Linked DNA regions of Drosophila melanogaster. The protein of the gene in region 1 interacts with the protein of each later gene in a pairwise test. Each region holds a gene or a part of one and is shown in the gene's direction. Other genes may lie near its edges. The genes, in order: Scamp, CG32638, CG13494 and CG17048.

Region 1 (6,479 bases):
CCAGCGATCATGACGTCCGTGGCCCGCTTGATGCCATCGATCAGCGACTCGCGGCAGCCATACAGATTGTCAAACTTGCTCTTGGTCACCGAATCGTTGACATTGATGGCCGGTACGCCAAGACGACCCTCCTTGAACATCTTGTACAGGTTGTGGACACCGGTGGTCGTCTCCTCGCTGAGGCCCTTGATGTTTTTCAGATACTGGGGGAACTTTTCGTGCACCAGGTTGGTCAGATCGCCGCCATCGTCCAGGATCATGTTCAGGGGCTGGCCGTCGGGGAAGACCAAGGTCTGCTCGATGCACCACATGTACTCCTCATCGGTCTCACCCTTCCAGGCGTACACGGGCACGCCGGTGGCAGCGATGGCCGCGGCAGCATTATCCTGGGTGCTGAAGATGTTGCAGCTGGACCATTGGACCTGGATAAAAGAATGAAAATGTAGTTCATGCGTTGAAGTTGAGATGTGGATGGGAAGGAACCTAAATTATATAGATATTTGCAAACTGATTTGCATTGCATATAGGATTGATCTATATCAGGAAATCTATGTATTTCAGGACATCAGCATTTGGCAGAAAATAGTTGCCATGTGCGAGGATTGAAGCAGATGGTGCTGCGTCAGAGGAAATAACAATCTGGAGGTCTTATCTTGGGCGCCTTGAACTTGCCCCCCTGCTGTTAAACGAAAGTTTTGTTATTCAAATTGGTGCGTAAACCAAAGGTGATAAGGGACCAGCCCTTGGACAATGCTTGGAGATACCTATCTTTCTACCTAATTTACAATTTCCTTACGGAATTTTGGTCGGTTTTATGGTTTTTGAAATGGTTTTTAGTATTGAAATGATGCTATCTTTGTGTATTATCCCGACTGTTCAGACCTACAGTTGGGCATACAATTCGAATGGTGGTACGATGCATAAAATCATTTAGAGCGCCAAAGAGGCACTGAACCCACCTGAGCGCCCAGTTCGACGAGGGTCTCGATGAGCACGGCGGTCTGGACGGTCATGTGCAGGCAGCCGGTGATGCGGGCGCCCTTGAGGGGCTTAGATGGGCCGTACTTCTTCCTGCAGGCCATCAGACCGGGCATCTCGTTCTCCGCAATAATGATCGCCTTGCGTCCCCATTCCGCCAGACTGATATCGGCTGTCGAGTGGGATATAAAAGGGAGATAGGGTCAGATAAGCAGGCACTGTTGATTTATACACCATACGGTCTGAATTTCTACGTTTTTTGCCCCAGCAACAACGTGCTCTCCTCTGTTTTGTCTCTCTTTTAACCTCAGAAACATGTGCTCATGAATAGATGCAATTCACCCGCACATGTCGCCTGTTGCCGGCCGGAGATTCGATTCGAGAGTTTGCCATCCGTTTGGGTTTATTTATAACGCAACTCACCGACTTTGTAGCTGGGCTTCGACATTCTTGCAAGGATTGGATGTTTGACTTGGATGCGGAGCAGACAGAATCGCACACAACCGAATTGGAGACGCGGGCAGCGGTAAATGAATCGAATCGCAACCCAAGACACTAGAATTCCAATTGCGGAATGGCGGCCCCAGGGATGGGAACTGGTTCCACGCAGCTGGTTCAGCTGGAGCAGTTCCGATTGGCACGATTGTTGCCATTTAAATTTAAAATTCATATGATAACTGCTGGTTTACATCCAATTGTATATAGAATCTTTTCTTTTTGCTATCATTTTAATAAAATGTATTAATAGGTCCTAAAAAATCAGACCATTGTATACCAGTTATTCACATTTTTCAGAATTCTAGATTAATGTTAAATGTGTTAAATAATAAGTTTTTCTGCCAAAATGAATTTAATATGTAATTCAAATAACATTAATTCTTTAAAGTAATTCTTTCGATATTTGAGGCCTACACTTTGATTCCCAACGAAAGCTTATCGATGCTGAACCATCACTAAAACCGACATCGATAACTGAGCAGAGTCTTAGGGAAAATATACACAGCGAAAAGCAAAGTGCGAGTCAGTGCGTTTTTCTGGTCATTGAACAGCCGTATCCAAAGTAGAATTCCCATGTCCGGCTCCGGTCTCGACGAGAATCCCTTCGGGGAGCCCAATCTGGACAATCCGTTTGCGGTGAGGCGATAGAAGAGCTAGGAGAGAGAGCGCGGAAGCCGAAGAAAAAACCCATCGCACACACACGCACACGTACGCAAAGGTGGGGTGTTGGTGTGCGTGCCTGTGAGTGTAGTGTGTGTGTGTGTTGGGTGCATTCGTCACATATGTTGAATGAATTGGTTTCTGATTGGGATTTCCCGGTTTTCCCCCGCAGGACCCCGCCATCCAGCAGGCACGACGACTCCAGAGCGGCGCCGCCCTTGTCTCTCTTGAGGATTACAATCCATTCGAGGAGCAGGCCAAGCCGCAGCTGCAGATCAACTCAACGAACACGGCGGCGGTGGTCCAGCCGCTATCGCAGAACATTCCGCCCCCGCAGACCAGTTCCCTGGGCGCCTCGGCGCCTAGCACCAGCATACAGATCACCTCGGAGGAGCTGCAGGTAACCCACTTGGCCGGTCGTCTCGCGTTACCGCCCACACAACAGTGAGCACTCTGCGGTGTGCTGTGCCGGCATGGCCACATCCGCAATACTCCAAAAACCGCATATGTACATCCAAATACTCGGAAACAATCGAAATGGACCACACCACACAGTTACACTAAAAGTTTGCCCTAAAAGTCTGTACAGTAATCACTTTGCTAGAGTGCCGGGATTAGGGCAGGCATATCACATTTTACTCTCCATCAAGAGTCAGAAAGATAAGCGGGCTTATCTCGATCTGCCAACGATATATCCGCTTTGGAGCATTTATCTGGTTGAGACTAGAAGCGGCTGCCGCGCCGAGTCTTCACTGTGCAAACTGCGGTTTCTCTTGATTTACTTGGCTTCTTCGGCCCTACACAATAATTCAAGAAATACTAGTTAGTAGATCTAAATACATATGATTTGGAGGCTTAAGTTTGCACTTTATTCTTGTACAGAATATTTCCTATAGATAGGCCAAATGCCTGAGGTTAAGATAGAAGTTTAACAAACTCAAGATTTGGATGTGAATTCCTATCATTGAATTTCGCCTTTGTTTTCCCAAATATGTAAATGAATAAGATTTAAAGTATTTACCATATACGGCCAATTTATTAAGTCATACAAAATGTATATATAAAACAGTCGATAATCATATGATTTTCATTGTATCCAGCGCCGGCAGGAGGAGTTGGACCGCAAGGCCGCCGAACTGGACCGCCGCGAGCAGCAGCTACAGGGCAATGTGCCGCAGCTGAACAACTGGCCACCGCTGCCGGATAACTTTTGTGTAAAGCCGTGCTTCTACCAGGACTTCGAGGTGGAGATACCGCCCGAGTTCCAGAAACTGGTCAAGCGATTGTATTACATTTGGATTTGTGAGTATTGGTTCTTTATGGCTGTGTTTTCTACATGTTTTCGCTGATAAGCGGTGCCATAGGTTGTGGAATTAGTCATCGCGTGTCGTCTACAGGCCGATGCCATTATTAATCAGATATAGCTGAATGGCTAATGGTCTTGGATGTGTGCGTGCCTTTGTGCAGAATATGCTTGCAAAGAGGGGAGCATGAAATTTGTTTGATTTACATGTTATCAGTATTAAGATAGTTTTTAAATGCATTTCTAGCATTATTTACTGCATGCATAGTATATAGTATATAATAATGCTTTCCCCTACAGATTATAGCATTATGCTGATTGTATGTGTCTATTTTGAATACTTTCTCCGACAGTTTACACCATGACGTTGTTGGCCAACGTGATAGGCGGTCTAATTTTGCTGTTCCACGCTGGCGAATTCGAGACCTTCTTCCTGGCCATCTTCTACACGATGCTCTTCTCGCCCGCCTCCTATGTCTGCTGGTGAGTTTATACCTGGAAGATTCTTAAAACATGAATAATGTGATGATGTGTGATTAATTTTCAGGTTCCGACCGGCGTACAAGGCATTCCGCAACGATTCGAGCTTCAACTTCATGGTCTTCTTCTTCATCTACTTCTTTCAAACGCTGTACTCGATTGTGCAGGCGGTGGGCTTCAACAAGATGGGCTACTGTGGCTTTATTACGGCCATCGGGCAGTTCGATGGGCAAGCGTCGGGTATTATCGTCGGCATTCTGCTGTTGAACGTGGCATTCTGTTTCACAGCGGTGGCCGTGGCCAATGTGCTGATGATCACAAAGATTCACTCGATCTACCGCAGCACAGGGGCCAGTATGGCCAAGGCCCAGGCGGAGTTCACCACCGAGTTTCTGCGCAACCAGCACGTCCAGGAAGCAGCCTCCTCGGCCGTTAATACGGCCATCAATTCGCAGTTTAACAACAGCAGGTACTAAGTGACACTCTGCTTTCCGGGGATCTAATCAAATCAAAAGGAGAATCAATCAATCAACCACGAACTCAAGCAGCACTCATCCTGCTTAACTGGGACAGAAAAAGATGATGATAGCCGCGCCAGAGAGAGGGAGATGGAGAAAGAACACTTAATAAACATTGAAATAGCTTAACACGAAATGAAAGTAAAGAAAAACATGAAACTAAAGCTAGCATTGGAGCATGGAACTAATAACTATTTGCTTTTGTGCATAAACAATTCCTAGAATGCCGTCGTCTTTATTACAAATAATTACTGTAATGATAACACAGAAACAACACACAATGCATAAACAATATTTATAAACGGAACAAAACCGAACTTGGAACTAAACTGAAAGTGAAAAAAAAACCAAACAAAAAGGAGAAAACAAAAAAACAAAAGGAAAACTAAAGCGGCCCACGATGCCTTCGACACGCAGCTGCAGCGGATCAAGTAGACAGGACATCTTAATCGCACGATATATGCCTCCAAATACAAGTATCTAGACTAAATTATTGTGTGTCTGTCTCTGTCCTGTGGAATAATTCGATTCTGATACTAACCCAGATTAATCAGGCGAAAGGGATGACACTGATGACGATGATGCTGCTGCTGCTGCTGCTGATGATGATGTTTTCTAGTTCTTTAAGTCATTAAAACGATATAGGAATAACCCCACTCCCTCGCACACGCAACACACACACACACACACACTCACATATATACGATCTTATATATATAACAAACATAATATAAATAATATATTTAACGCTTACATTATAGAACTTTATCTCTCGTCGCCTCGACCAGAGAGACAACAAGAAAGCGAAATTCATTTTTCATCCAAGCTGTGCTCCTACGCCCACTGCTCCACTGTCCCCCTCTCCTCCCTCCCCCCTGTTCCATGTCCCGACCCCCTTTTTCCGCCGTCACTGTCCTGCACTCACATAAAATGTCGTGTTTTTTTGTAATCGTAATTGTTATATATTATCTATTATCTATGTACATGAAGACAGCATATAAAATATATTGATTCACTTAAGTATTCACATTTTTTAGATACATTTTGTTCGTTTCTGTTTTGCTTGCAAGTCAAACTTATTATGTTACGACCTATTTAAAACTGAATTGAGAATAGCTAATGACGATCTATGGATGTGTATTTAAAATTCAAGCAAAATTTATGATAAATTCCAAAATAAATATAAAATACTTATAGATGTACAATAAGCATTGATTTTGAATTTATGGGTTGTTTGGTACTCATTTCTAGAGAATTCAAATGCATAATTTGGTGCGTAATTAAAGGGGTATAAAGACTTTTGAGATATTCATATTATTTATCTGCAAATCCCAGCCTTGAAACGCAATAATCAGGCTTAAATTCTTGGTTTATTACTGCTGGTTATCTGCATGGAGGTATTTACACAATTTATATAATAGATAGAACTGCCATCAATGCTTGTGTTTATATTAGTCAGTTTGCTTATAGATTTTAATCTTGAGTTTGTTTTGTATAAATAAATTCCAATAAAATTGAAAACCCCACAAAATGACTGGCAAATAGTTCGGATTACCGCCATAATCGACTCTTAATTAAGAGGAAATGTACAATGTCATTTAAAAGTGCACGAAGACCTTTGATTTCGAGAACTCATTCGATGGAAAATCAATTAGCAAGAAGAAAAGTTTACGTAAGCCAGTCGGTAATTAAGACGATTGAACATGGTCGAAAGTGAATGTTCCTGGAAATGCATAGTTACTGCACCCACGTCGCATTAGAGCGATGCCCACATACACGCCCACATCTTGTAAGGCCATCTCGGATTGATTTTGGGGCATGGAATCGGATTTGGTATGCCCATAAGTGTGATGTTTGTCAACGAAAGATGCAAATTTTATTTGGCAAATGTGGAATTAAATCAACAACGGGGCGTACACACTCAGCCATGAAATATGTGTGCTAGACATTTACAGATAAACATATATGAATATATACATCGTCCAGATATACATATATATGTACATATATGTATACTTATCGCCCTCCTTCTAGTTTGGGCA
Region 2 (8,153 bases), 2.3 Mb from region 1:
GTATGTAAGTCAATTCAAGCAGGCTCTAGTTAGAGAACAAAAGAAATGAGCAAAAACCTAAATTCCACACATAGTATGTACATTTCTACATCTGGAAATTTTTCCATATTTGTTGTCCGTTTACAATGAAATAGATAAGATAAAGGGTTAAGTTGATCGATCGCTGCGTAGCTCGCACAAAACAAAATGTTCTTTTAAAAATTTTCATTGAAATCATTACCAGTTTATCAGTTAAATGGTTCATTTACTTCATAGTATGTTAAGTTTACTAAAATGAGCGCTATTATTTTGGCCCCAAGTGTATGAGTGTGCCCTTCAACTGCTTCCATTTAAACTGCTTTGCAGGATTTCTATTTCTGGAGCAGCACTTGCGCATGTCCTGAAAAAATGCCTGTTGCATGCAGAGATTCGTGGACCTACCCCAAATTCCCACAGATGCATAAAAGTTGGCTGATGATTTTTCAGTGGACAATTATTGACAGAGTATCAAAAAAACAATTCAGACTCAAGGACCTTTTCGCAATACAATTGGAATATTATGATGGTTGCAAAATCAGATAATTTCTAAGTTAAGCCACATTAAATGCTAGTTGTTTGACATAACTCCTAATTTAGTTCGATATAATTCCAATTGAACTGTCGAAAAGGATGCCCCAAGCTACATGTAAAATGCTTAGAGAGGTATTTTAAAGTATGGCTTAAAAAGCACCTGGATGTAATTCCTTCCGGATGTGATTCGTCGCCGTCGAAGTCCAGAACTGTCACTCTTCAGTTGCCGAAGATGGTGCCCACGGGAAAGACGACGATCCTCCGTTTGCCGCTCACCACCAGCGATTCATAGTGATAGTTCTTGGCCAGCAGAACATCGTTGCGGTCGGCAGCAAAGGATTCCCAGATGGGATCCAAGTCCGGATTGAAGCAATTAATGGCCACAATATCGCTCGGTAGTCGTGGTATCAGTTCGTAGGCGCAGCCCAGCTTCTCATTCCACAGACTAACTTGGCCGTAAGGTAGGGGATCCCTTTTGGCCAACTGGCCGGCCTCCTTGGCTGTGCGGAATGTGTGCACCGTCACCACTCCCGTCGCTCCATTGCCCAGATAGCTGTGCACGCAGTCGTACACCAAGACGGGTGATTCCCCAGCCTTAAGGCTTTCGCCTTGTACTGTCTTGGCCTTCAGCTCTTCGATCTTGGCCAGCGTGCTGGTGTAGCTCGGATGCTTGGACACCTCCTGCGACAACGGACGCAAATCCTGCGCCACTAGGCCCACAAACTGATCGGCAATGCTCTCCTGGAGTAGCAACGTGGCCACCGATCCCTCGGCAAAGGGATTCTGCAGGGACTGGAGCAACTGGTGGCGCGCTGAGTGCAGATCACCGTCCTCGAAGACGACCATCAGCTGGGGGGAGCGCCACTGGGGTGCACTGGGAATCAGCGCCAACTGCAAGTAGATACATTTTTGAATTTAACATATGTATGTAGGTGCTCCGATAATCTCACTGAGACACAATCCGTGTGCCAAGGAGATCAAGGTTATGTCCGATATTGTCTGACTGACCTTCGTTTCCTGCGCCGTCGGCTGCAGCTGGTTGACCATGTAGCTGGTGATCCTGGACGGCTGGGACTGGGTGAAGTTGCTGGCCATGCTCTGCGAATTGAAAACTTGAATTCAATGGAATCGCCCGATCAGCTGCGTTATCAGCGGCTCACGCAAACATACACACACGCACATAAACAGACACACACGCACACACACATTCACATGCAGAGAAGGAAGATCGCTGATAAACTAAAATACCAGTTATTGGTATTATTCAGTATTTAACACGGCCTGTCGCATTTTATAGCTACGGTCACACCGAAATAATAACTGGCATGTATAAGCGGAACAGCGACCGGTCACATTGGCCCACACATCACAATTTTAATTTAAATTGCAATTGGTCGTGTTGCTGCGCTGACGCCTTCCAGCGTATAAAAGAAAATAACACTTTTGCCCCCGGCTAGCTAATAGTTGTTGACATCACTCGTTATTCGCCGTTCATTGTTGACGCCCCCGTGCAAAGGCAGCAACAACAACAGCGATTGCCAAATATTGCAGCAGCAACAACAAGAACATTTGGAGAACGAAAGAAGACCAACAAGTGCGCGCACACACACACACACGCACAGACGCACACAGATACACTCATACAGTGAAGCTATTGCGCTTTTAGCACCAATTGAAAGTGAATTGCAAGTGAAAATAGACGCAAAGTGGAACGATTTCAGCAAATTGTTGCACACGAAAATAACAAAACAGCTGTGCGACTCATTTTTTTTTGTGTTTTATTGTTGTTGTTGTCTGCGCCGCGTGTGGCAGCAGCAGGAGTGGGAGTGAGAGAGCGGTAGCCGCTGCAATAACTGCATTTGAGTGCGAGCGAGAAGGAGCAGGAGAGCGACATCATCATGACCGACCTCAACGAGCTGATGGGATCCCCTTTTGTGCGTGTGAAGGTAAGCAAGCAGTGCATGCGATGCGGGAGACGAGATGCCGCTATTGCACTGCACTGGCCAGCAAGCAGTGCACTGCACTCACCCCCCTCATCTTATCCAACAAACAATTGCAGCCATAAAAATAGCAATGGGCGACTAGGAAAACTCATAACTCATGACAAAAAAAAAAAAACAAAGAAACAGATAAAAATTCTGAATAAATGAAAAAGTCTCATTTAAATTAGGGGAAAGAATAAACAGGGTAAATAGATAACATATGGTACAGCTGCGGTCAAAATATTAACAGCAGGGCGGTTCAACTGGCTGGGTGGCACACATAAACAGAAGAAACAGATAAAGAATTTTACGGAAGCGGTCAAAAAATTAAACTGGGCGTATGAAACATACGTGTTTGTTTTTTAAGGAATAAAAGCCATGAAAAGTAGATAAAAACTTTTTTTGGAAATTTACTTACATGTGTTTGGATGCTTATTTTGCATTCAAAGTGGATATAGCTACATATACATACATATATCGGCAAATATAAATTACTTGTTGTAGAACGAAAATAAGTAAATTAATGCCATCGTTATATGTATAAGTAAAAAATACACATAAATGACATTGTATGTACAGCTGGACTAATGCAACTTGTGTGGGCGAAATAAAACTGCTTGAGCGAAATTTACAGCTTACGGGAAAACCTTATAAACTAATTACATCGTTTCACTAAAAACATTTTCCAATTGTGCAGTTTTCTGTCCAAGAATAAATATTGTTATTTCTATCATAATACAATCCGTTTTTTTTACCATAACATTATAAATAATGGTCCAAATATAAAATGAGATGCCTCGTTGTGTTCGTTATTAAATACCAAATCGAACTGTATTCAAAAATTTCCTTAATTCTTCGATGAAAATGATAGGGAACGTTAGCCTTGGTAATTTGCTGCTCAAAACAGTTATTTTTTCATCTATATAACAATTTTTAGCGTATTTATGACAAAAATTCCATTTGTAAATATTACGTTTTTGGCAAAAGCTGTTTTTCCGAATTTATGTGATCAAAAAATCCGTTTTTTTGCCACAACTTTCAAATTAATTGCCTGAATATGAAATGTCATACCTCAATGAGCTCGTAATTAAATTTCCAATTAAACTGTGTCCAAATATAAGAATTCTATTTTTTCGCCATTTTTTGCAAATTTTGATGATGTTACCCCTTACAAAAAAATGCGAAAATTGACCCAAAAATTAATTTTTCTAAATCCTTCAAAAAATGATTGGCGTCGTTAGTATTGGTAAATAGCTGCTCAAAAAGGTAATTCTTTTATCTATATGACAAATTTTAGAGAAGTTATGACGAAAAGTTCCGTTTGTAAAATCACTTTTTTGGCAAAACCCGTTTTTTTCGAATTTCGGTCAATAAATAATCCGTTTTTTTTACCACAACTTTTAAAATAATTGTCTGAATATGGAATGTTATACCTCGTTGAGCTCGTAATTTAATTTCCAATCCAACTTTGTTCAAAAATAAGGATTCTATTTTTTCGCGATTTTTTTGCAAATTTTGATGATGTTACCCCTTACAAAAAATGCAAAAAATTGACCCAAAAATTAATTTCCCTAAATCCTTCAAAAAGTGATGGGAATCGTTAGCAATGATAAATAGCTGCTCAAAACAGTTTAATTTGTACAAATTGCACAATTTTTGGCCAAGTTATCTTAAAAAAACTGAAAAGATACCTATTGCGGTTAACGCTGCTGTACGACTCTCACTTGTTGGGCCTCCATGGGTTAATGGCCAGTCGCTGTGTGATTAGCACCCCAAGTAGTTAACCGCAAATGACAACCGATACGATGCTAGTAACTACAATTGGCAACTTCGCCGCCAGATTCGTGGGGCTTCACTTGGCACTAAACCGCTTATGATTATGCTTATGTGTTAACCAGATATGACCATATAACCATATATAACCAAATGTAGTTTGTAGTAGTTCTCCCTTTGCATTTTCTCATTTTCCCCTTTGCTTCTACATTACATATATCTTACAGCTTGTGGCCTTTGTGCACTTCTTCTTCATCTCGAATGCCATGCTTGGCAGTTGGGGCCACGGGGCGTATGAATTCTACAACTTTCTATTCCTGATCGCCATGTTCTGGTCGATGCACAGCAAGGACTCCGTCGAAGCGATTCAAACGGTGAGTGCGATCGATTGATAAGTGCCAGATTTGATATTCCCAATTGAGAAGACTCTTCAATTAATTCGTTTAATTTGCTCGCCATACCCTGCAAATGAGGGTATCACAACTGTGACAAGCAATCTATTAAAATTGGTTTACAAAGTATAGCTAAGACTTCTTAAAGAACGCTTACAAAAAGTGATATATAATTCATAGCATAGTTTACATATATAGTTTACTTAAGTAGCAGTGCGATTGCATTCGTAGTCACGCCTTTAGTTACGTATAGCTTTCCATTCATCGCTTTCTGTGAGTCATTAAAGTATTGTTGATAGGATTGTTATACAGATAAGTATGTTTATAGTGCAGTGTGTTCACTGCGTTCATCCAATTAATTCAATATAGACGAATAGCATTTCCCTTTGGAGTCCACTGCTGACTGAGGCTTTAATCAACTGCTAGACGACTCACAGCGATATCACCACGGAATTTGTTAAATCGTTCAAAACCGGTTGTTCAAAAAAAAAAAATCGCCAGTAGGCAATTAGCATACACATGCAAAATATAAATAACAAATGTTCTCACTAAAATAGTTCGACGAACATCAGGTGCCAGCGAGGAAATCAAGATTAAAACAATAAAAACAATGATTGATTCGTATGATGATGATGCACTCAATGAATTTATGCAAGTTATTCATGAAAACTACTTTCATTTGAGAAAGAATCGCAAAATTCTAGCAACTCACAAAGTTAAGAATGAGAAGCAAGCATATATACTTAAATCTTGAAAAAAAGCGCTTCTCGTGACGATAAGATAGCACATTTGGGTTATCCAAGTAGCAATGGGTTTATTCTTTCCCAAAATGATTTACAATTGGGACTTCGTCATATGTGCTGGCAGAAAAGATATATATCTTTGAAGGGAAAACTCTGGTTCTGCTTTCGACGAATGCCAAAAGTTGTGGCGCTATTATGGCCAATCAATTTGCTCGCTTATGGGACTAACTGAGCCATAACTGGTTCCCCGCGGCCCCGATCTTTAATCTCTAATGTTCTGTTCCACCCCCGAGTGAGTCCAACCCGTCAAGTGGCATGGCCAAAATACTAAAAGCAAAACGAAACCAAATCCGAGTCTGAACGCGTGGAGGTATGCTAATGAAAGTGGACTTAAGTCGAATGTACACAGCGAAAAATTTGTATAACATAATAATTTGTATGTAGTTTTTATCAATTAAAGTAAAGGTTACAATATATTTACGACTATATATTTGAAATCAAGTTTTGTTTTTATAATCATAGCATTGAATATCATATATATTCAAATATCTATAATGCATTGTGTACAAATATTTCCACATTAAAGTCCGGTTTGCTTGGCAAATTGCGTGTGAAGTTGGGGGTATGCGTGTATTTATAGATGAGTTAGCCGTAAGTAAAGAGGGCGAATGGCTCAACTTTGACCTTAGACCGACCGAAAAGTGACCACGTCCAGCGAAATGCCGCCTACTCCCATCCATATACAACCCATCTACTCAAAGAAGTTACCACCTTTACTCCTTGAAGGAGCTGCTACACGCGATTCCCATTTTGGGCCACAGGCCCTTGAGTCGTACTTAATAAATCGGGCATTACGATGCCCATTTAACGAGGATTCCCAACCGGCGGCGCTTGTTTTGTTTGCTTCCTCGAAAGCCATTAGCAACGCCTCTTAGTCAACCGAGTTGAACGCAACTCGATGTCAAATCCTTGGCCAGCCAGTGGCTATGCCATTCGTTTTCGCCAGCACTCTGGACAAACTGTAAAAGAAAAATCAATGAACATAATTTATTTAATTTCGAATATGTAAATTGTAGTTTGCAACAACTTGGAGCTGAGTTTCCTGAAGAATCGTGCTACGCAGTGCGCTGGGCATAGTGGGTGAAGGATTTTCCCGGTTGCGGTTGCTTGAATTGTAGCATATGTTGACCATTTAAAATGGCCAACGTATTATTAACAGAATTAGGACACGTGTGGCGTTGGACACGTGCATCCGAAGCATATGTAAAATATTTAAACTCAACAAAATCAGCTTTCAAACATTTTCGTGAAATGCCTAAAAGGCTGCTTTCTTTTCTTAAGTTAAACCACACAAATCTGAGCATTAACGATTCAATCGTGATTATATCGTATGTCGTATCCTTTATCCCAACCTATCACTTCCCGCCCACACTCATGTTATATCATTTCGTATCTCTTTGCAGGCGCTCGTCATCAACGCTTCTAGCATTTTTTTTGATATAGTCAGCATTTCTCTTCATTTCGGCATTATGAGTAAGTCATCCAGCCGGTTCCTATCGTTACACTGAACACGATATCGATGCTTAACGATGAGATACTAATAACTTATTAATTTTCAGATGGCTGGGCCGTTGCGTTCAGCATCATCAATCTGATACTGCGACCGGTGAGCGTGGCCCTGCTCTACAAGGAGTTCAATACGAGGGGCGGCACACTGCCGACGGGATCGGTCTTCCCAACTAGCCAGCAGCGCAGCTATCAGGACATCGATCGGCCCACACAGCCCACACCGACCAATTCGCAGCCCGGTCCGAATGTGGCCAGCATTTTCTAGGCTCTCCAAGACAACCCTTCCAAGTACCTAGACAACACACCACTACGATAATAGACAGCGGATTCCGCAATGGAACAGCAAAGACAACCCATGTGTAGAAAGACTTGACTAGTCAGTGTCGCTGCCGAAAGTAATCAGAATATTTGAATGCGAAACAAAATTTTATACATACATATATATAACGTGTGTTGTTTTTTTTTTTTTTTTTTGAGCGTTGTTTTGTTAGTGCAATATTGTGAGAGAGACAACGATTAAGGTTAAGCATTGTAGTTAAATACGGCATCGGAATTTCATAAAGAAACGTGTAGGTGCGTGTTTTCCTTGTCCCATATACACAAACCTTTTTTTTTACATTGTTAACGAATAAAGTCGGCTAATCAAAAATATTAAAGATACACACATATATATATATATATATATTTATATTCGTATTTGTATAACAAAGATTGCAATTCTACTTTATATACTTATCCTAGATAACGTTAACGCTAACTGTAAACCCAACAGAATATTCGAAAAATAAAAAGCGGGCGTCATCGTTTGTAAAACAATAAATAGAGCGACTCCCATCTCTCGTCTCGTCCCCACCTCCTGTACAAAAAGAAAACCCCCCGATCGCCTGCTTCAGAATCCCTCCTTGGCCGCACGGAACTTGTAATGATTGCTCCGCCCGTCCAGACACGGCACCTGCACCAGATTAAAGTAGATGGAGCCCATCAGCTGCGAGGCCGAGGTGTTGGTCATCTTCAGGCAGGAGAACAGCATGTCGTCGCAAATGCAGTGGGATCTACGCAGAGTGGAAAGGCATTAGATTATATAACAGGCATAACAGATTATCTGCTGCAACCAATTTGTGCACTCACTTTGTGTACAGCGAATC
Region 3 (3,142 bases), on another chromosome or scaffold:
TGGCTTTTACGCCAAAAATTATACTATTACAATCAAGTTTACGATTGCGATTCGCTGCCCCCGTTGAGTGCCAATGAATGCGATGATGGCAGGATACGAACATGATCATTGCCATTGCGTTTGTTCCTGATGATGATGATGATTGGTTGGGAATACACATAAATTCAGCTGCGTACGATTTTCATTGGGGACGGATATCTGACCATTTGGGACTTTTCGACTAGGAAGTCATATTTGCCGGAAGATGATTTTCTTTACATTCGCATCTATTCAAGTGGAAAGATAGCCTTAACTTGCTATAAATCCATTTCTTAGATTTAAATAGTTTCTGAAAATATATTTAGTGTAGTGAAGACGCCTGTTTAGTATTCAGTTTTACCCCGAGATGGAATCGCAGACAGATGAGCCTAGTCCTTCCGCCTTTCAACGCGTTGCCCTGCAACTCATCCTTCGTCGAATTCTAATGTGCAAGTTGACTTTGTGCAATCGCGCATTGCATGCCACGCAGTTACCCCTCAGCCCGCAGCCAAAAGCTCTTAACCCCCTGAGGATCCTCAGCCGTTCGAGGGATGCGGCAACTACACGGAGGCACCAACCGCAGCAACAACAAGGACAACGCCTGCGACAGGATATGGCAAGTGGGCAACTTTGGAGCGGGCGAGTTTAAATTGCCAGAGCTAAAAGGGTTGCCAGCAACAACGCCGTGAAAAACGTAACTTTTTTCTGCTTTCCCCTACGATTTCATTCCTTCTTTTTTCAGAAAACATCGACAAGCGGCGCTTTTGACTGCCATTACCCACATTGCCACCCCTCGCAGCTTGTTTTTTGTGGCACAAAACTTTGCACTTTGACATGCAGCCACGTGTGCCATGATGCTATATGTTAAAGGTGTGTATGTGTGTGTGTGTGTGAGTGAGTTTGCAGGTGTGGGTGAATGCATGTCTGAGTGTGGGTGTCAGTGTGAGGCAGTGAATTGAATGAGCTTTCAATGCTGCCACCGCCAATTGGCCGACAAACGTGTCTAATAGTTCCCAATTGCAATCACTGATTTGTGATTCAGAACGAGAAGTGGATTTTTACTTTCCCGGTGAGTATATTATCAGGAGTTGTTTGATCAACCTTTAGTTACTTAACACAATGTTCAGTGTTTAATTATGGTTGAAGTCCAACGCAGTTTATATTTATTATGCACGAAACAGATAGATATCTGAAAAAATATATATTCATTTCGCTGTTTATCGAAGAGCTTCCTTTTGTTTTTTGCATTAAGTTGTTGACTCATTTTCTTAATTTTCTCTGTGGAGTAATCAGCGCACAAAATACAGTCATTATAATCAACGACCTCTTGGTACAGTAAACAGCTCCCTATAACGAACCCAGGCGCACACGTGCGCACACTTGAAAAAAATCTTTCTACTCGCATGAATATTTTAAAGCTCGCATCACATTCAAATTATGATAATGATGGCGTGAGGCGAGGGTGTGTTTTTTGCATATGAGTTAAAGTGGGGGTGTTTCGCAGAGTGGGTGTTTGGAGCGCTAACGAGCGCAGGTACACACAGGAGCTCAGGGACAGCTCCCCAGATCCCCGTTCGAGGACCACCCCTCTCTGCCAACCCAATCCCAGTTCCACCCGCAAAATGCTTTCGTTAATGCATTTCATTAATTATTATACAATTCGAATGGGCATTGTATGACGGGTGGTGTGTTCGTGGGTTTAATGAGTACTTTTGTGGAAAGGATTTTAAGTGCGATTGATCGTTAGAAGTCGCTTCGTGTGGAAGCGTGACGAATGCACCTATGCCCATAAGCTTCTTTGCTTTTGTCTTTCGTAGATGGGGAACTTGAATATATTTAAAACCAAATATGATGCTAAATTGAAAGTGGGCACATATGAAAATTGTGCTGAAGGAGTCTTTGAATACACACTCAACTTTGCTGTCTGAATTTTTGTAATTTATTCTAATTTACAATAAGCTAAACGTTAAACATTTCAATACCGTCAACAAGTGATTAATCATGGATGACACATTATCAACGGTAGAAGGCGGGATGACGGAAACATCCTCATGGAGCACCACGATCGCCACCACCACCACTACAGAGGCCGCCAAGGCGGGTAGCATGGCTGTCGGTATTATTGTCCTGATCGTTGTTATGGTGCTCCTCTGCTGCCTGCTCATCATCTGCCTGCCGCTCCTCTGCCTGTGCGGCTGTTGCGGACTCGCCTGCTCCGCGTGCCTCGCTTGCGACGAAGGATGTTGTGGTGAAGGCGGCGGCGGTGGATGTTGCGGCGATGACGGCGGTGGATGTTGCGGCGATGGCGGCGGGTGTGGCGATTGTGGCGACGGCTGTGGGGACTGCACCTTGGACGATGATTAATTCGGCGATAATTCAAGTTTCTATTAATATGTACGTAGTGCTAGGATATGCGATTCGAAAGCCTATAAATTTAATGTGCTCAGGTACAGATTCGTTAGGAGCATCCGTATGCTCATTGGCAAAATTGTTGTCTATTCATAAAAAATAAAAAAATCTAGCTTAATTTTGAAATGATATCTATTAACTTAATATATGGCAACCAAAAATCAAATTTAAAGTACAAAAAAATATCGACTTCAGTAAGCTGCGACTGTACTCTTAAAATTAAAAAAAAATCTATACCCAAAATAAAATTTCTGAAGGGTCAGGGTCATCGAAATTCTTAAGCTGCTATGCAAGGAACGGTGAGAAGCATTCGTTAATTTAATGTGATTTTCCTTATACATATTTCCTTCCATTTAGAGGGTTCAATCTATTATCGAAAGCAACAAAATTTGCAATTTATTTCCCATAAGCTATGGCCGAGTTGGATGCTACAACCCTATCTGAATACGATATTGAATATATAGACTTTAACATGACAACTGTGGCGTACCGTACAACCACTGGACACCCGGATACTAACCTAGGTGCTTGGGGACTTTTGTTCATATTCGTCGTAATTTTTCTTATCATTGCTGCCTGCTGTGCTTGTATGGGTGTTCTCGTCCTTTTTGGTTGTATGAAGTCCTTTCTCTGTTTTCGCTGTAGACGCCGAGGCGACGAGTTTATAGGAAGGGAACCCTGACTGTCGTTGAAATTCTGTCATTAAAACTGAAAC
Region 4 (3,528 bases), on another chromosome or scaffold:
TCATAATTCACTACAATTTACTAGACATTTCTGCTAATTAGTCGCAGCTACATTTCGTTTCAGGCAATCGTAGGCAAGGCACAAGGTGCACAACTTTGGCTAATTGCAAAATAAGCAGGCTCTCATTAAATTAGAGAATATTGCCAGAGAAATCGCCTCGAGGCGGAAATCTGGACAGGCAACATCCGTTTCCGCTTCCGTTTCGTTTCCGTTCCCGTTCTGCAGCTAAAACATTAACCCACTAATGCCAGTTGGGCCCCAGCTCGACTCCATGATTCATTCGGTGTCACGTTAACCCATTAAGCCATAGATACAGTTGTTTGTCGGTCGGTGTCCTTGTTTTGCGGTCTAAATGCACAAAAAGCTTAGCATAAATGAGCTCTGCTCTGCTGTGTTTCGCTGTCGGTCCGCGTTTCCGGTAACAAAGCTCATTAGCGAGAGTAGCAATGGCAACGAGTGCAGCGTCATCTAGCGGAAACTCGGGGGTACTATTGCCCAAAGGATTTACCCGAAAATAGAAGGAACAAAAAAGCGAACAGTTTTGCAAGTATTAAATCAGAACGAAGACTTGTCAGATTTCTATACAGCTCTAATTAAGTTGCCGTTCTCAGGAATGACTGTGCGAGAATTGCTCTGAGTATATTTGGTTTTATGGTTATTCTACTTTATTACTACAACTTGGACCTATTAGGATCTGTTGTTTAAGTGGCTTTGGTTTGCTTCCATTTAAGTTTCAGTTCGAATCGTAGTTGCCATTAATATTCATGGGTTGTAAATATTTTAGAAACTTAAATTGCTTTGCTTATTTATATAAGTTTCATTCAAAAGAACACAATTTTGATTCTATCAATACTGTTGGATCTTTTATGGCCGATTTCTTATTGACAAATTTTCTTCACATTTTTCATGTAGTATTTATTTTAAAAGTTCTCTTAGTTCTTACGTTGCTTCCACCAACATTTGCCTTGATTTCCTTTTAATTCTTTAGGCAAATAATAACAAAACGAATCTAAAGATAAAGTTCAGAGCCCGCCTCATTGCTAAGTTTTCCAGATTGATGCCGTTTGTCTTTGGGCGTCTTTCCCGACTTTTCCGCATTTTCCGGCTTTTCTGACTTTTCCGACTGACTGTATGGATTTGAGTACCTGCTCGCAGAAGTGGAGCATCAGGAAATGGGGAAAGTTGGCAAGTGGGTGGGGCTGGTCTGTAGATGTGTCTTAACAATTGCTCGGGCATCTATAAACATAATTAAAGAAACTCTGGCAAATTAATTCGAGTTGAGAATTTAACAATTTGCCGAGCAAAACTTTTCCCCACCGAACAATAAACAATCAAGTTGGCTTCAATGGCGACTGGCAACTGGAACTGGCAACTTTTTAATCAAGTTGAGGATGCAAATGCCGGATAGTTGGTTTATATGGCCACCTAATTGGCCGGCGTTAATAATATGTGCTTGTTACCGACTGTTAAATTGCAGAGCAACTGACGCCAGTGATTCAATTTGTCAGCTGCTTGTTGGGACGTCCTTCGTCCTGCGAGGGATGGGTTTCTTGTCCTCGACTGATGTGACTTTTAGTGCCGGGCTTAATTAAAAACCCTGTTGGAGTAATCGCCGGCGTCTTGTCATTTAGCTTCCTCGCTCCTTGCAAGTAGTTGCAAAGTTCGATTTTTGTCGTCTGCGTCTGCGGTCGTTTGCCCCAAAGTGCAAAGCGTTGTCCTCCGTAAAAATCAGCCAAAGGATGAGCCGAGCCACGCGACACATGGCTTCCACTTCAGCTCATGCCATCCCATGCCATCCAATCCAAGCCCATACCATGCCATCTCATCCCATCCCGGCCAGACTCTCTTCTAATTGAGTTGTACAAGTCGACTACTAATTGCATTCGATGCCTGGCGCTCGGCGTTGATATAATTAAATTTTATTGGCCGGCGAAGAAGCTTAAGGTGTTTTCCGGTCAGATTTATCGTCGTTCATTTTAATTAAAGTTTAATCGTGGCGGCGCCCGCTTTGCCCCACCTGTCAATCCCTTTTTCCGGCATGGGGGTGTTATCTAAATTTTTAGTTCTACAAAAATAACCACCCAACTGAAATCACATAAATAAATTGAAAACAAAATACCCAGACACGAAGACACTATTACACGATCGCCACATATACAATACATTGAAAGACATAACATTTAGAAGACTAGACATAGAGAATCGAACGGGCATAATGGTACAGCAGGGCCTCGATGCGACGAACTTTGGTCTGCGGAGCGACTACTCCAGTGAGAACGGCGATCATCCATCGTTGTTCGATACGATTAAGGATGGGGATCAGCCGGATATGTGTGCCTTTTGCCTGGATCGCATACAGAATCCAGAGAAGCTGCACTGCAATCATGCGTTCTGCAAAAGCTGTTTAGCACTGTACAGGGAAGCTCGCAACTGGGTGGCCAAGCGTTGCCCAATCTGTCGGAGCAGCCTGGACATGGATGGCCAGGTGTCCAGGCAGTTCCACGATGTAAGTGCTCCATGGGTAACTTTTCGTAGCACTATCAAGTGACTACTAATTAGTAGTGGCGGATGTGAAAGCATTACACTTAAACTTAAACGTTAAAAGATGTGTCCAATGACAAGAAAGTACCTATCCTAATCCCTTGATCTCCTCCAGAACTGGCGTCTATTTGGTATTATGATGGTACCGCTGATGGTGCTCAGTCTGGGCCCCTTTTATTTGCTGTTGCTTTACTGGTGAATTCGTTTACGAAATATGTATATTTGTATTAAGATAGATCTATGCAAACTTGTCAGTGGATTTTAATTAAACGAAAAAGACATAAAATGCGACTGGAATGTGCTTTGTTCTGGCTCGTCCTTTGTCCTTTGACCACCTTAATGAGTTTTTAGCCAACAAGATAGATAAGCGTTTTCTTAGAAAAGCTGCTTGAATGGTGGAAGCCCAAGTTGCTGGTATCACGATTGCTCATACGCCCTGTGGTCGCCATGCCCCCATTTTAGCCACGTTTTAATTCAATTTTATGCGCCAATAAACTGATTTGGCTGCTTGCACAAAAAGTGCTGCCACGCATGCATATTGCACCGAAAGGAAAATAAATCGATGCTGAATCAGCCCTTTGCCATACATATACCAATATATCTCGATATCCACGAATACCAATATTTTGTGGGCCCTTATTTGTGTTTATTTTGATGCTGTAAATCAAAATGTAGCTCGCAAAAAAGTTGTTTATATTATACAAATATTGTTGCACTTTAAAATGACCAACAAGTAAATATTGGAAAATGTGAATATTAAATGTTTATTGGCCAACACATGGATCAGTTGATACCCTTTGCGGTCTGCAGCTTGTCACTTGGTTTTTGTATTTAATTGAAACTATTTTAAGTTGAAATATTCTTGTGTGACAAATGTTATTGGATACTTTGGAGTGTTTAAATGAGATTTCTGTGCAAAGATTTAAGTTTATAAATTCTTTAAAGAAATCTTAAATATCTAGCAATAATTTTACAATATGTTTATTA

What was found.
Region 2: the proteins of Scamp (region 1) and CG32638 interact in a two-hybrid assay, tested with the Drosophila melanogaster proteins (one large-scale study listed by BioGRID).
Region 3: the proteins of Scamp (region 1) and CG13494 interact in a two-hybrid assay, tested with the Drosophila melanogaster proteins (one large-scale study listed by BioGRID).
Region 4: the proteins of Scamp (region 1) and CG17048 interact in a two-hybrid assay, tested with the Drosophila melanogaster proteins (one large-scale study listed by BioGRID).

Annotation. Positions count from the first base shown.
Region 1 is NC_004354.4:15,445,338-15,451,816, reverse strand, and holds Scamp (scamp), read left to right. Parts: upstream 1-1,933; 5' UTR 1,934-2,049; coding exon 2,050-2,112; intron 2,113-2,308; coding exon 2,309-2,536; coding exon of another isoform or gene 2,537-2,584; exon of another isoform or gene 2,585-2,958; intron 2,959-3,236; coding exon 3,237-3,438; intron 3,439-3,792; coding exon 3,793-3,922; intron 3,923-3,986; coding exon 3,987-4,395; 3' UTR 4,396-5,638; downstream 5,639-6,479. Other genes in the region: Ahcy (adenosylhomocysteinase), read right to left, coding at 1-422, 960-1,150, 1,402-1,426.
Region 2 is NC_004354.4:13,122,593-13,130,745, reverse strand, and holds CG32638 (uncharacterized protein), read left to right. Parts: upstream 1-1,951; 5' UTR 1,952-2,447; coding exon 2,448-2,495; intron 2,496-4,531; coding exon 4,532-4,678; intron 4,679-6,902; coding exon 6,903-6,972; intron 6,973-7,058; coding exon 7,059-7,273; 3' UTR 7,274-7,870; downstream 7,871-8,153. Other genes in the region: CG15717 (uncharacterized protein), read right to left, coding at 769-1,440, 1,558-1,644; CG42237 (uncharacterized protein), read right to left, coding at 7,898-8,060, 8,137-8,153.
Region 3 is NT_033778.4:21,953,650-21,956,791, reverse strand, and holds CG13494 (uncharacterized protein), read left to right. Parts: upstream 1-1,946; 5' UTR 1,947-2,019; coding exon 2,020-2,382; 3' UTR 2,383-2,550; downstream 2,551-3,142. Other genes in the region: CG43405 (uncharacterized protein), read left to right, coding at 2,840-3,109.
Region 4 is NT_033778.4:13,353,021-13,356,548, reverse strand, and holds CG17048 (uncharacterized protein), read left to right. Parts: upstream 1-2,049; 5' UTR 2,050-2,215; coding exon 2,216-2,506; intron 2,507-2,656; coding exon 2,657-2,740; 3' UTR 2,741-2,911; downstream 2,912-3,528.